Linked DNA regions of Schizosaccharomyces pombe. The gene in region 3 interacts genetically with the main gene of each other region. Each region holds a gene or a part of one and is shown on either strand. Other genes may lie near its edges.

Evidence for each region.
Region 1: mutations in tho3 (region 3) and get1 together harm fitness more than expected from each alone (negative genetic interaction), as found in Schizosaccharomyces pombe (2 studies listed by BioGRID).
Region 2: mutations in tho3 (region 3) and pab2 together harm fitness more than expected from each alone (negative genetic interaction), as found in Schizosaccharomyces pombe (2 studies listed by BioGRID).

What each region holds. Positions count from the first base shown.
Region 1 is NC_003423.3:4,317,097-4,321,097, reverse strand, and holds get1 (GET complex subunit Get1), read right to left. Parts: upstream 2,190-4,001; 5' UTR 2,152-2,189; coding exon 2,065-2,151; intron 2,017-2,064; coding exon 1,650-2,016; exon of another isoform or gene 1,557-1,649; coding exon 1,495-1,556; 3' UTR 979-1,494; downstream 1-978. Other genes in the region: SPOM_SPBC16C6.01C (lysine methyltransferase), read left to right, coding at 1-978; m-AAA protease Yta12, read right to left, coding at 2,489-4,001.
Region 2 is NC_003423.3:1,938,846-1,942,884, forward strand, and holds pab2 (poly(A)-binding protein Pab2), read right to left. Parts: upstream 1,944-4,039; 5' UTR 1,912-1,943; coding exon 1,876-1,911; exon of another isoform or gene 1,825-1,875; coding exon 1,571-1,824; exon of another isoform or gene 1,516-1,570; coding exon 1,428-1,515; exon of another isoform or gene 1,372-1,427; coding exon 1,249-1,371; 3' UTR 526-1,248; downstream 1-525.
Region 3 is NC_003421.2:737,361-741,043, forward strand, and holds tho3 (THO complex subunit Tho3), read right to left. Parts: upstream 1,920-3,683; 5' UTR 1,896-1,919; coding exon 1,869-1,895; exon of another isoform or gene 1,807-1,868; coding exon 1,533-1,806; exon of another isoform or gene 1,490-1,532; coding exon 1,398-1,489; exon of another isoform or gene 1,346-1,397; coding exon 1,277-1,345; intron 1,235-1,276; coding exon 990-1,234; exon of another isoform or gene 945-989; coding exon 866-944; exon of another isoform or gene 800-865; coding exon 656-799; downstream 1-655. Other genes in the region: protein Thc1, read right to left, coding at 160-510; replication checkpoint kinase cds1, read right to left, coding at 2,042-2,321, 2,394-2,602, 2,641-2,850, 2,916-3,175, 3,244-3,328, 3,374-3,405, 3,473-3,521, 3,613-3,683. UniProt on the Schizosaccharomyces pombe protein: Component of the TREX complex, which operates in coupling transcription elongation to mRNA export.

The DNA.
Region 1 (4,001 bases), on a different chromosome or scaffold from region 3:
AATTTAAGAGTATACAAAAATCAATATGATCAATTGGTCCGCCCTTACTTTTATAAACATGCTGATCTCAAACAGCTTTGTCCAAAATGGAATCAGTATTTAGAGACTTGTGTTCTCGTCCAAAGCAGGTGTTTTTACGTTAACAGCTACTACGGTTTATCTTTAATACCCTTTTTCGATATTTTTAATCACAAGTCTGGTCCAGCTATTGCTTCGCTACATTGTCAGGAGTCAAATGATCATAAAGGCGATATCAAAATAGAATTTATTTCTTTTCAGTATATACGAAAGATGTCCGAAATATTCAACTCCTTCGGAAACTTTGCCGCTGATGAATTGTTCACGCAGTATGGATTTATTGATACCGCTTGCAAAGTTTGGCGCGTCGACATGACAATGATTGCTTATGAAACTAACAGAAATTTTTATATGGAGTGGATTCATAAAAAAAGAATAATCAACACCCAGGAGTTGCTGGTCACCCCAACTACATACGCAAATGACAAGTCTGAGACTTTACGTTCAGTAATGATAAGACAACCTATGGATCTTTATATAATAACAGATCATGGTCCCAGTTACGGGCTTTACTTATATTTATTTTTTTGCATTTACAAAATCAAATTCCAAAAGTGCGATATGAATATAGTAATGCTTACAAAGTATTTTAATGAAATCTGGGCTGTGTTTATAGCACATAAGGAGGGAGAAAAAGAAAAGGTTGTTGCTCAACTCTCTGGTTTTTCTTTTTATTGTAAGGCTATAGAATTTCTACAGATGCTGTGTCAAAAGCGCATTAGTCGTTTCAAAAATGGTGGGTTGACTGCTGAAGCTTATAAGACTCTATTGTGCGATCCGACTCTTAAACGAGAGAATAGGTCTCGTTTAGTCTTACAAATTTTTTATCATGAACTTAATTTACTCGAAAAATCAATGCAAGAAACAATTTATCTTTGTACTGAAAATTTTGAAGATTAAAAAAACAACATACAACGGTTGGAAATGTTGCATAAAAGGAAAAGGTAAGATCGAAGTTCAGCTTAAATTTTAATCATAATTTTGTGCCCTTCTTAATTAACATTGTAGTAACTTTATGATGTTTTCCAAAACCCTGCATCGTTCCCTTTCTAGATGTCCTGTGTAATAAATAACCTATTTGCCATTTCAAACTTTCGGTATAAACAGCATCAGAAATATGAAAGCGTCAAATTAAGCAAATGAATTAGTAGGCATAGAAATAAGAAATCCGATGACAATTTAGATGAAAACCAGTGTAGAGCACATAAAGTGTACAATTTGTGAAGGAATAACATAATATTAATCGTGCATGGTAAACTATGCTTTCCATGGCATTCTTTCTTATGAGAAAAGGAAGTAGAAAACGCATTTATAAAATGACTTTACTGAAAATACATATGGCATCTTTTTCCCTTTAGTTAATTAAACTAAATGATAAAATATTAAAATTAGTCACCGTCTTTGATGATTTGGAGATCAAAATATCCCGGAAATAGTTTTTTGAACCGCAAAATTCCAAACTGTTAAGCTAACCGATCCTACATGCCATGTTAGTATTTCAGCTGCCATTGTGATAAATGAAAATAAAAATAAAAAAAAGATTTTCAGAATTTTCATTAAAAACAACATACCGTAGATTGATCGTGGAAGAGATAGCACCCATAGAGCCCAAGAAGGAAGCAAGAATGCAGGGAGGAAAAAGACAGGTGTTTTGGACTCTTTGAATTGAATATAAAACCGGAATCCACGGGTTAAAATCCAAAGAAAAAGGCTTAAAACCCGCTTGAAAGTATCTTGGAAAATTTTAACATTGGCTGATTGTTTTTCCCACTCTTGACTGAGTTGTTCATACTTTCTATTCAGACGGGCCCATTTAGCAAACTGATCTTGACTGCTAGTAGCGTTTAGCTCTTTCTTAACAGTAAGCAGCTGCTCTAAAATTTCTTTGTTCTTCTTTAAATCTTTATTATTAGAAACACTAACGTAAATTCGATAAGCCTTTCACATTATTAGTTTTCTTTACAACAAGTATATATGTTAAATTACCCCATCAATAGTCCTTTTTTTTGCAAATTTATCGAAGAAATGAATAAATAAGCTTAATAAAATTGTTGAAATAATCAGATCCATCATAAAATATGGACTTGTAAGAAAGTACAGTGGTTAGTGTCAAACGTGTAACTGTTGAGTATCACGCTCCCTATGACATGCTGGTCTAAAGGTCGAAACTAAACACAAGTTTGTTTGTTACGATATTAGCTATTTTGTGTTAGAAAATAATAATCTATTAACCTTTTAAAGTTCAGAAGAATTGATGTTAAGTATATTTATCTAGCTTCTGTAATATTAAATAGAAAAAATAGATAAAATAGCTATATGATATTCAATTGACAAATACTTTGATCATGAGATCCATGAAAGTAACTATTTTCATTCATAACGCTTTATTTAAATTCAGTAAATTGACAAATTAGGCAGAAGGTTGTTGAGGAGATGGGGGGATTGGTGGATTTCGAGGATCGTGATCATTTTTATACTCAGACTGACGCATAAGTTCAGAAATATTTAAATGTTTGTATGCATATGGCCTTGGTCCAAGAATCGTCTCAACTTCGTTATAAGTGATGACTTCTTTCTGTAATAGACGTTGAGCAATATTTTCTAAGCCTTGCTTATGTTCTAGCAAAAGTTTCTTAGTTCTTTCGTATGCATGCTTTACAAGCTTTCGAATTTCTTCATCAATCATTTGAGCTGTAGCCTCAGAAAATGGTTTTTGAACAGTTTCCCGAGTGTCGATGGGATAAGCTATAGTACCAACAGTCGGAGACATACCATATTGGGTCACATACGCTTGAGCCATGCGCGTTACTTTTTGAAAATCATCGGAAGCTCCCGAAGTAATCTTTTCTGGTCCAAAAAATATTTCTTCAGAAACACGCCCAGCCAAAGCCATTCCCATTTGATCTAAAATCTGCCCTCGACTCATCAGATACTGATCTTTGGGTAAATAACTAGCATAGCCAAGGGCTTGAGCTCTAGGAATGATTGAGACCTTCAATAGTGGATCGACGTACTCCATAAACCAACCAGCTACCGCATGTCCAGCTTCATGATGAGCAACGGTGTTTTTTTCTTCAGGACTTAGTACCCTACTCTTCTTTTCCAAACCTGCCGTGACTCTTTCAATAGCTTGCTCAAAATGTACCATTTGGACTTCATTACTATTTGATCGTGCTGCAATTAACGCTCCTTCATTACATACATTCATTATATCAGCTCCTGTAAAACCAGAAGTTAGGACGGCAAGACGCTTGGCAATTAAGTCGATGTTATCGGCTGCCTTAATATGCTTAAGGTGGACCTTAAATATTTGTTCACGACCGCCAATATCAGGACGATCAATCGTAATTTGACGATCGAATCGACCAGGACGTAGAAGTGCCGGGTCCAATACGTCTGGTCGATTAGTACCAGCGAATACGACGATATGTTCGCTAGACGTAAAACCGTCCATTTCAACTAATAGCTGATTAAGAGTGCTTTCGCGTTCATCATTGGAACCAAATTGTCCTCCACGTCCTCTTGCTTTACCAATTGCATCAATTTCATCTATGAAAATAATACAAGGAGCGTTCTTGCGAGCAGTAGCAAAAAGATCTCTTACGCGGGAAGGTCCAACACCAACAAACATTTCAAGAAACTCAGAACCTGACACACTTAAAAAAGGGACGTTAGCTTCACCAGCGGTGGCTTTAGCAAGAAGAGTTTTACCGGTACCAGGAGGACCAGAAAGAATGGCACCACGAGGAATTTTAGCCCCCAACCTTTCATAAAACTTGGGATTTTTTAAAAATTTGACGAATTCCATAATCTCTTCTTTAGCCTCGTCAACGCCAGCGACATCAGCAAATTTTATTTTGATATCAGTTTCATGATTAAACATCTTCGCTCGGCTCTTACCAATTCCAAAAATGCCACCTTGA
Region 2 (4,039 bases), on a different chromosome or scaffold from region 3:
ATCTAAATTGGCTCTTTTTATAAATCGACAGACGAATGCTCGAATGCTCGAATGCTCTCTGGAATATCCTAGTGTAAATACCTGTTGGTTGGCTAAATAGTGGATCAATAGGTGTAACTCGCAAGTTCAGCGAATATCCGCTCAGCTAATATTTGGCAAATCGAAAGAGTAAACAAAGGTCATCGAATCTGAGTGGCACAGCGTAGAAACGACTGACTTGATTATCCTTGTTACTTTTATTTATCGCTTCCCTATACGAGTTGGGTAAAAGGCAGGAAGGAAATTATTTGTACTGGAATCCGGAATATGCCGCAGGTAGCTAAAAGAAATTGACTCGACATGTACAATATATGAACATAAAAATCGACTATGTAAAAACTACTTAATTAGATATACACCAAGCTTTTTTTGTTAAATGTCATTTTACATCATGATGACTAAAAATTAATTTCCTCACAATTATTACATATAAAAATGAACTTGTAGACTTAGAAAAGAAAGTCATACATTTTCTATATAAAATCATTAAACAGAATCAAGAAATTTATTAGAAATATAAGAAGATCCTCAGCATTAAACTCTCCAAAGGAGAAGAGAAGAACGTTAATGTGTTTCACTATATTAAACACAAAATGTAATGGTGAACACAGAGAAGTATCTCCTCATTACAAAAATATATATATAATGAAATTATACATTGGTAGGTGTTTAGTTTTATTAATCAAGAAAGGAAGGAGATGACTGTAATATGTGATACGGTGTATAGAGTAGCTTCCTTTTCTGACCCCTTTTCTAATCAAGCGGATCAAGATTATGACGAGAAATTAAGCTGAGCAAATAAATTTTCAAAAACAAAAAAAAGAAAATTTTGAAGATTATGAACGTGCATCAGAAGCATAAAAACGACAATATACAACAAAATTTTATGAAGCTGGCATTGTAAACACAAAAATGCAATCAACTAGTCCATACCCAAGAGGAATTGAAGGGTCGGTGAATTACATTATGTCAGCATATATGTTTTAATATAGTGAATGGGATCATGACTTTAAAGGAAACCCGTGTAATCCAACACAAAAGAATAAACAAGGAATATAAACATTTAACGAATGAGTTGAAAGAAATACTAGTTAATTTCCAACATACTGTTAAATGTCATTTCTAATCTTTTCCCACCTAACTGTTATTGGTGACGATTTGAATGCTCATAATTCATTTTTCACTTTTTCAAGTCATCAAAGCGATTACCTAATACGGAGCGAAACCACGGGCTCTTCCACGATATCCTCCTCTGCCACGACCCCGTCCACGTCCACGTCCGCGACCACGACCACGGCTCATACCAGGAACGTTTGTCCGCTTGGGTGTAACCTACATTTCAAGTTAGAATGCATGTTGCTGGTAGTTACTGTGATTGTTTTACATACCTTTAAAGGTCGTTCATGCAACATCGATCCATTTAATAAAAGAGCATTAGGCACTAAGCTTGGTTCACTGAACTCGATGTATGCAAATCTACGAAACTAGGTTAGCTGTACATTCCAACGTCATCCACAAGTTCGATTCATACCCTTTTGGATGTCCCGTAAACTTGTCACACAAAATGGTAACGCGATTAACAGATCCACAACTAGCAAAATGACTTTGCAACTCCTCTGGAGTAACACTGTAATCAACATTTCCAACATAGACACTTTGAGCATCAATGGATTCCTTATCGTTTCTCAAAGCTTCCGTTTCATTATCTAGTTGTTCTTGCATGGCACGAAGCTTTGCAGCCTCTGCTTCCATTTCAGCAACTCGCTCTTTCATTTCCAATAGTTCCTAATCATGTAAGCAAATAATTCCACCATACTACACAGTCTGAATTCCTACCTTTTCTTGGGTATCTAAGGCATCTTGATCACTCATTTTTTCAAATTTTCTGCTACACGCGTGTGGTTGGAAGTAAACTGTTCAACCAGTATTCTTTAGCATGTTGAGGGTGACAAAAGTTTCCCTCTATGCTCTCAGAGTAGCGACGCTTTGTTTCGCGCAAATTTACAATAGCGTATGGCACGATTAGAGACGGAAAAACCGATTTCTGAATGAAACAGCACAATATGGTGTAATATTTTCGTATTCGTTAATACGTACAATATGTGTTTAACGAGGATTTGGACTGCCTGCTTATAGTTCGGATGCTTGGTTAAGATGAGAGTGCTCACAAGTAAGTAAGGTGAGGTTTGTGGACATTTTTGTATGGCGTGTTTGGTTTTATTGTATTGCTAAAATCACAATTCATAAGAAAGCGATCTTTAAAAAACAATTAAGGAGATTGACGGGATATGCCGTTAAATGTTTAGTTTTTGGACGTAACGAATACCTAAGTTGCTTGAAGAGCTCTCCCACTTGAAGTGAAATAAGTGGAATCCTAAAGAAATACGATAAGACGTGATAAAGTATGGCATAATGTAGTTCTTTCATGGAACTTCGAACTCAATTATTACACACTCTTCACCATTGATATACGTATCCAGGGTTGGTATTATCTTCATTAGCTCGATAGCCAAGGGTGATGAATTACAAAAATATAGAAAAGGGATATTTTTGAATGGAAGTCTATTTAAAATAACTTCCTGTTTTTTAATTGATTTCTTTAATAATATTCCGTATTTTTATATAAATTAATTTATTTTTTCTGATTTTTACCATTATTTCTTTTTTTACTTTATTTTGTAGTTTTTTGTGTTTTTTTTTTTTTGTTCAGCAACCCATCTAACGTAATGCTATCGTTTATATTAATTGTTTTTTTCTTCTTCTTTTGTTTCTACGCTTTAAATGTAAAAAGAGTCCAAGTCTAAATAAACCAATTTTTTTTTTTTTTTGCCTGGGGATACTAATAATTTAATAAAATGGAAATTTCCCAACAATGTTTATCTATCAACCACAGCAAGCCGTTCCCAGCTTAACTAATACTAGAATAAAACAAATAATAATAAAGCATCAAGTAACGGTATATTTCGTTTCATATGCGAATTGTAGAACCAATACTACAGATACTTCACTATTTATTTATCCGGTAGCAGTCTACCATTGATTACCTTCTAGACACCGTTGACGATTCACATACCGAAGCGGAGAAAATTAATAAATCAGAGTTTTAACTCAAAGGAAGCTTCTATGATCCCTTCCAATCTCGTACTTCTATTCAAGGGCCTATATATCTCTTGATATTTAATTGCTATGGCAGCTTCCTTAAACCAAGCAACATAATGATCAAACAAAAAGCAAATTGTTAGGCAATTTTAAGATCATTTCATTAAAATGTACGAAATAATTAGTTCATATTCGAGGCTTATATCTTTCTCATTATCGAACATTTTCCATCGTTCATCTATCTACTTTGCTATTCTAGTTAACAGTGGTTACTTGTGCATCTAAAACGATCGGTGAAACGAAGATAGAAACGAGAAAAGAATTCAATAAGATGAGAAAAAATAATTAAAACAATTAGTAAAAATGAAAATAGATTGTAGACGATAGCATATGTGTCTATAAATTAGTATATACGACTTGTTCTATTTTATATTTATTTATTTATCACGCACAAGTTTAAGGAGAAATAATGCACTACACAGTCACGTTATCATAGAATAAGGAAGAAGAAGTCAGAACGGGATAAATTGATCACGAATCTTCCTTACCAACTCATCTACTATCTCGACATAATTGTGCTATATTCCACTAAATTTCGTTAAATTCTCTATCGCAATCAAAGGAACATCAGCACTAAAAAGAACTCCTCAGGGGGGGCGGATAACTTTACCCTCTACCAACAACAACCAACCAAGGTTCTGTTTTCTGCTACATTTCTGGGTTCAACATGAGAAAATTTGCTTAACAAAATATTAATACACACACGATCTAAGTGAATTGCTACGAAATTCTAATTCTCCCAAAGTATTCAACGCGAAACCACTGTTTTCATACCCGCCATCCTCTTCGAACAGCCAGGCCGACTTTTCTTCCCTCTACTAGGTTATTTCGTTGCCGAAGT
Region 3 (3,683 bases):
GCCAACTAACAGTTGCAATTTTAAACCAGTTGGGTTAATAAAAGATTAAAATTAGGTTTTTAGCCAAACGAAATTTTATAAAACACTCGGCTGTCCGAAAAGTTGTTGGATTGCGATTAATTTTTCCGGTAAGTTTAAGCTGTGTTCTAATTTATCTGTTTAACCTGAAGTCAAGAAATTTTGTAGTGGAATAATTCTTTTCCTTTTACATAAACGAAGTACCTCATCGTGCGAACCGTAGAATGGTTTAATGATAGCATTCAGTTGACTGCCCCAACGAAGTGAATCTAAGTAAGCCTTTTGAGCTTCCTGCGGCGAAGAAAATGTCAGGTAAGCTCTCATACTATCCTTCCAAGTAATAATTAGATCAGGTTGTTTAAAATAACTTCTTAAAACGCGTTCTGTAAGATAAAGTCCTTGTGCACTTAAAATGTACGTAGAATGACTTTCAACAACTTCTACTGGACGTTCAATATGCTTAGATAAAGAAACAGTATTTTTCTCTTCCATTCTTCAAAACTTTTGGTACCAAATAAGCTAAAACTACAACTTCAATGAATATTGAAGGTATCCATGCTAAGAGTATAGGGTAAATACTAAGTAGCCGTTTTTTTATTGTTGATCAGCGTGAACAAGATTGCCAATTTTCAATCATTTATAGCCCAAATATCTTAAGACCACTAGAATTAGGCTCCGATACAGCATATGCTAAAATATGTTTTGTTGGATGCCAAGCTACCTTGTTCAGAGGTCCATTAGTTGGAATTTTCCAAATTTGATCACCAGTTTTCGTATCAGCCTTCCAAGTTAGTTTATTAAAAAGAATAAAAATAAGAAACGGTTTCAAACATCCTGAAATACTTACGATATCCACATAGCGGTCCTCTGATCCACTAGCTAAATAGCGACTGTCATAACTAAAGCTTAATGTACGGATGGGATAACTTTTTAGAAGTTAGCGACCAAAAAATTTAAAAGAAACTACATACTCCATTCTAGTAATCGACCGTTCACAAATCAGTTCTTGTGGATCCCATAAACTAGTAATTGCATCTGCACCACCAATGGCAAGGTGCCTGTTATCCGGACTGAATTCAATACAGAAACAATTTGAGTTATGCGCCTTTATATCGTAAACTCTTTTTAGAGAAGGCCATTCCATAATTTGCACCGTGCCAAGTCCTGTAGTCATGAAAAACAAATCTTCACTGAATGACCAACAGCATTCATTTGTCTATTAATCGTAAGCAAAGTTATTATTGGTTTAAAAACAAACCTCACAAGGTTGTTGGAATGTCTCCATTATTCTTCTTTCCCGAGCATCAATAAAAGACAACATATCATCCTAGCATTCAATTAGCAATCGTGCGTTATAAAAACTTAAAATATTCTCGTACCCGACTACTAGCACAGCAGTAATTTCCACTTGGACTCCAGGTTGCATAAATATTCTCATAGTTGCTTTCTATTTCAGCGATAGGTTTGGCGCCTGAATAAATAGTTAACAAACAGTCAAAGACTTCATTGCATACTTCTAAAGTCCCAGAAACGGATCATTTTCCCAGCATACACAGCCATTAACCGATCAGAATGCGTAGGATCCCATACTAGTTGTTCGACAAGACCATATCCTCTGTTCCCTAATTCAGTAGTAAATTTAAAATCCAAACGATCTGAATTCCAAACAAGTACTGATCCTGAAGATGAAGAACTCGCAAGTCTCGAGCCGGAAAGATTCCAGCCTAGGGAACGTATAGGTCCCTGTTGCCCTTGTAAATCTCGAGTTTTCAATTCGGGAAACTTTGGCTAAAAAGAAAAAAGAAAGTTTTAGTATTTTATGCTCTAGTTTTTATAAATCATTAACATACAAGCGATTCTGTAACTGAAGCACACATGGCAAAGATCGCGTCGAGACGTCCAAAGGGATAGTAGTACGTGGACAGAGTGGTTAGTGTAAACTTACTGTCTATTTACAATATTATAAATTTGACGGTCTAAGTATAAAAATTAATTATCATTTAGAATACTAAATATTAATAATCTAACTCGAAGAATTGAGCTGTTCGGTGGCCTCATGTTCAGACGATGATGGTGGAGTACGATGTTCGTGTGTGCTCACAGTGTAAAACCAAGGATGCTGGAGAGCTTCACTTTCAGATATTCTTTTCTCTGGATTAATTTCAAGCATCCTGTTGATTAAATCGATTCCCTCTTCTGAAATTTCGTTTTCTAATAAAGGCTCTATCGGATATGCACCTTTTGATATCAACTCAATACATTTTGCTTGTGACGAAGATGCAAAAGGAATAGACGCAGTAAGCCTGTGAATTAGTAATTGGAAAAAATTAAGGCATGAAGGTTCATTGCTAATTGATTAAAGCCGACAAACTTACATCACATATAAAACACATCCCAAACTCCATATATCAACTTTATCATCATAACCTCCGTCCAAGTTGACGTTTTTTGACTTCAAAACTTCCGGTGCTAGATAACCCATTGTCCCGCAAAATGTTTCTAAAAAGGTTCCCGTCCCATGAATAACTTTAGCCAAGCCAAAATCAGATATTTTAAGATGGAAATCATTTGTTATAAGAATGTTCTACAAGTTAGACTTTCTTATCAATAAACAAGATATACCTCGGGTTTTATGTCTCTATGTGTCACACCCTGCTTGTGCAAATGTAAAAGCGTTTCTAAAAGTTGTTTGAGAAGAGGTTTACAGTCTTGTTCGTCGATGGAGCCATTAGCAATTAAAAAATCCATAAGATCCCCACCCTCAACATATTCCATAACAATAAATAACTCGTCATCATTTTCAAAAATTTCATGGCATTGTACAACTCCTGGCTAAAAGATAAGTGTTAGCTAGGAGTTTTTCGTATAAAAAAAGGTGAACATAAAATGATACTCACATGGTGCAAAGATTTTAATATATCAATTTCTCGTTGAAACATTTCAGTAGCTCGCTTTTCCGAACTTGTCAAAAGGATTTTTCGTTTGTTGATAATTTTAATAGCATACCACTTGCCACTATTCACTTCTACCGCTAGCTTGACAACTGCAAATGTACCACTTCCAAGTGTACGAATAATTTCGTAATGACTGTTCTCGGATTTAATCATGTTTTTCTGGGAATCTCGTGAATGTTTAACTGGTACCTGGCACAAAAAAGCTATAAGACTGTAAGCAAACTTGAAGTGAATTCTACGTCAACAATCTCCTTCAGTGTAAAGGACGTACAAATTTCATCTTTCGGCACACCTAGGCCAATTCGAATTTCATCTCCGTTTGACAAGATAGTTCTACTATTCTTGGCAAGCCGTTCCTAAATGACGTCAGTAAATTGTAAACGAATTAAGCTCTCGCTTACAAAATTCAGAAATGTTCCATTAGAAGAGTGGTCTGAAATTGTTAGAAAAGGTGGAAGAGGCAGAAGACTTTAAAAGATTTTTTAATCCTTTAGACTTACCGTGTAAAAAAACGACATTCTCAGATTCATCGGAATCATTTCTATGCCCCTGGGTCATTTCGTTAGATAATTATGTCTTAAAGAGATTGAAGTTCAATTAAAACTAAACGAGTTCAGCTGGCCACTATTATTTTATATACCTGATAGATTTCAAAATGAAAGTTGCTAACTCTAGGTCCGTTTAAAACCACTTCACAAGATTTATGACGTC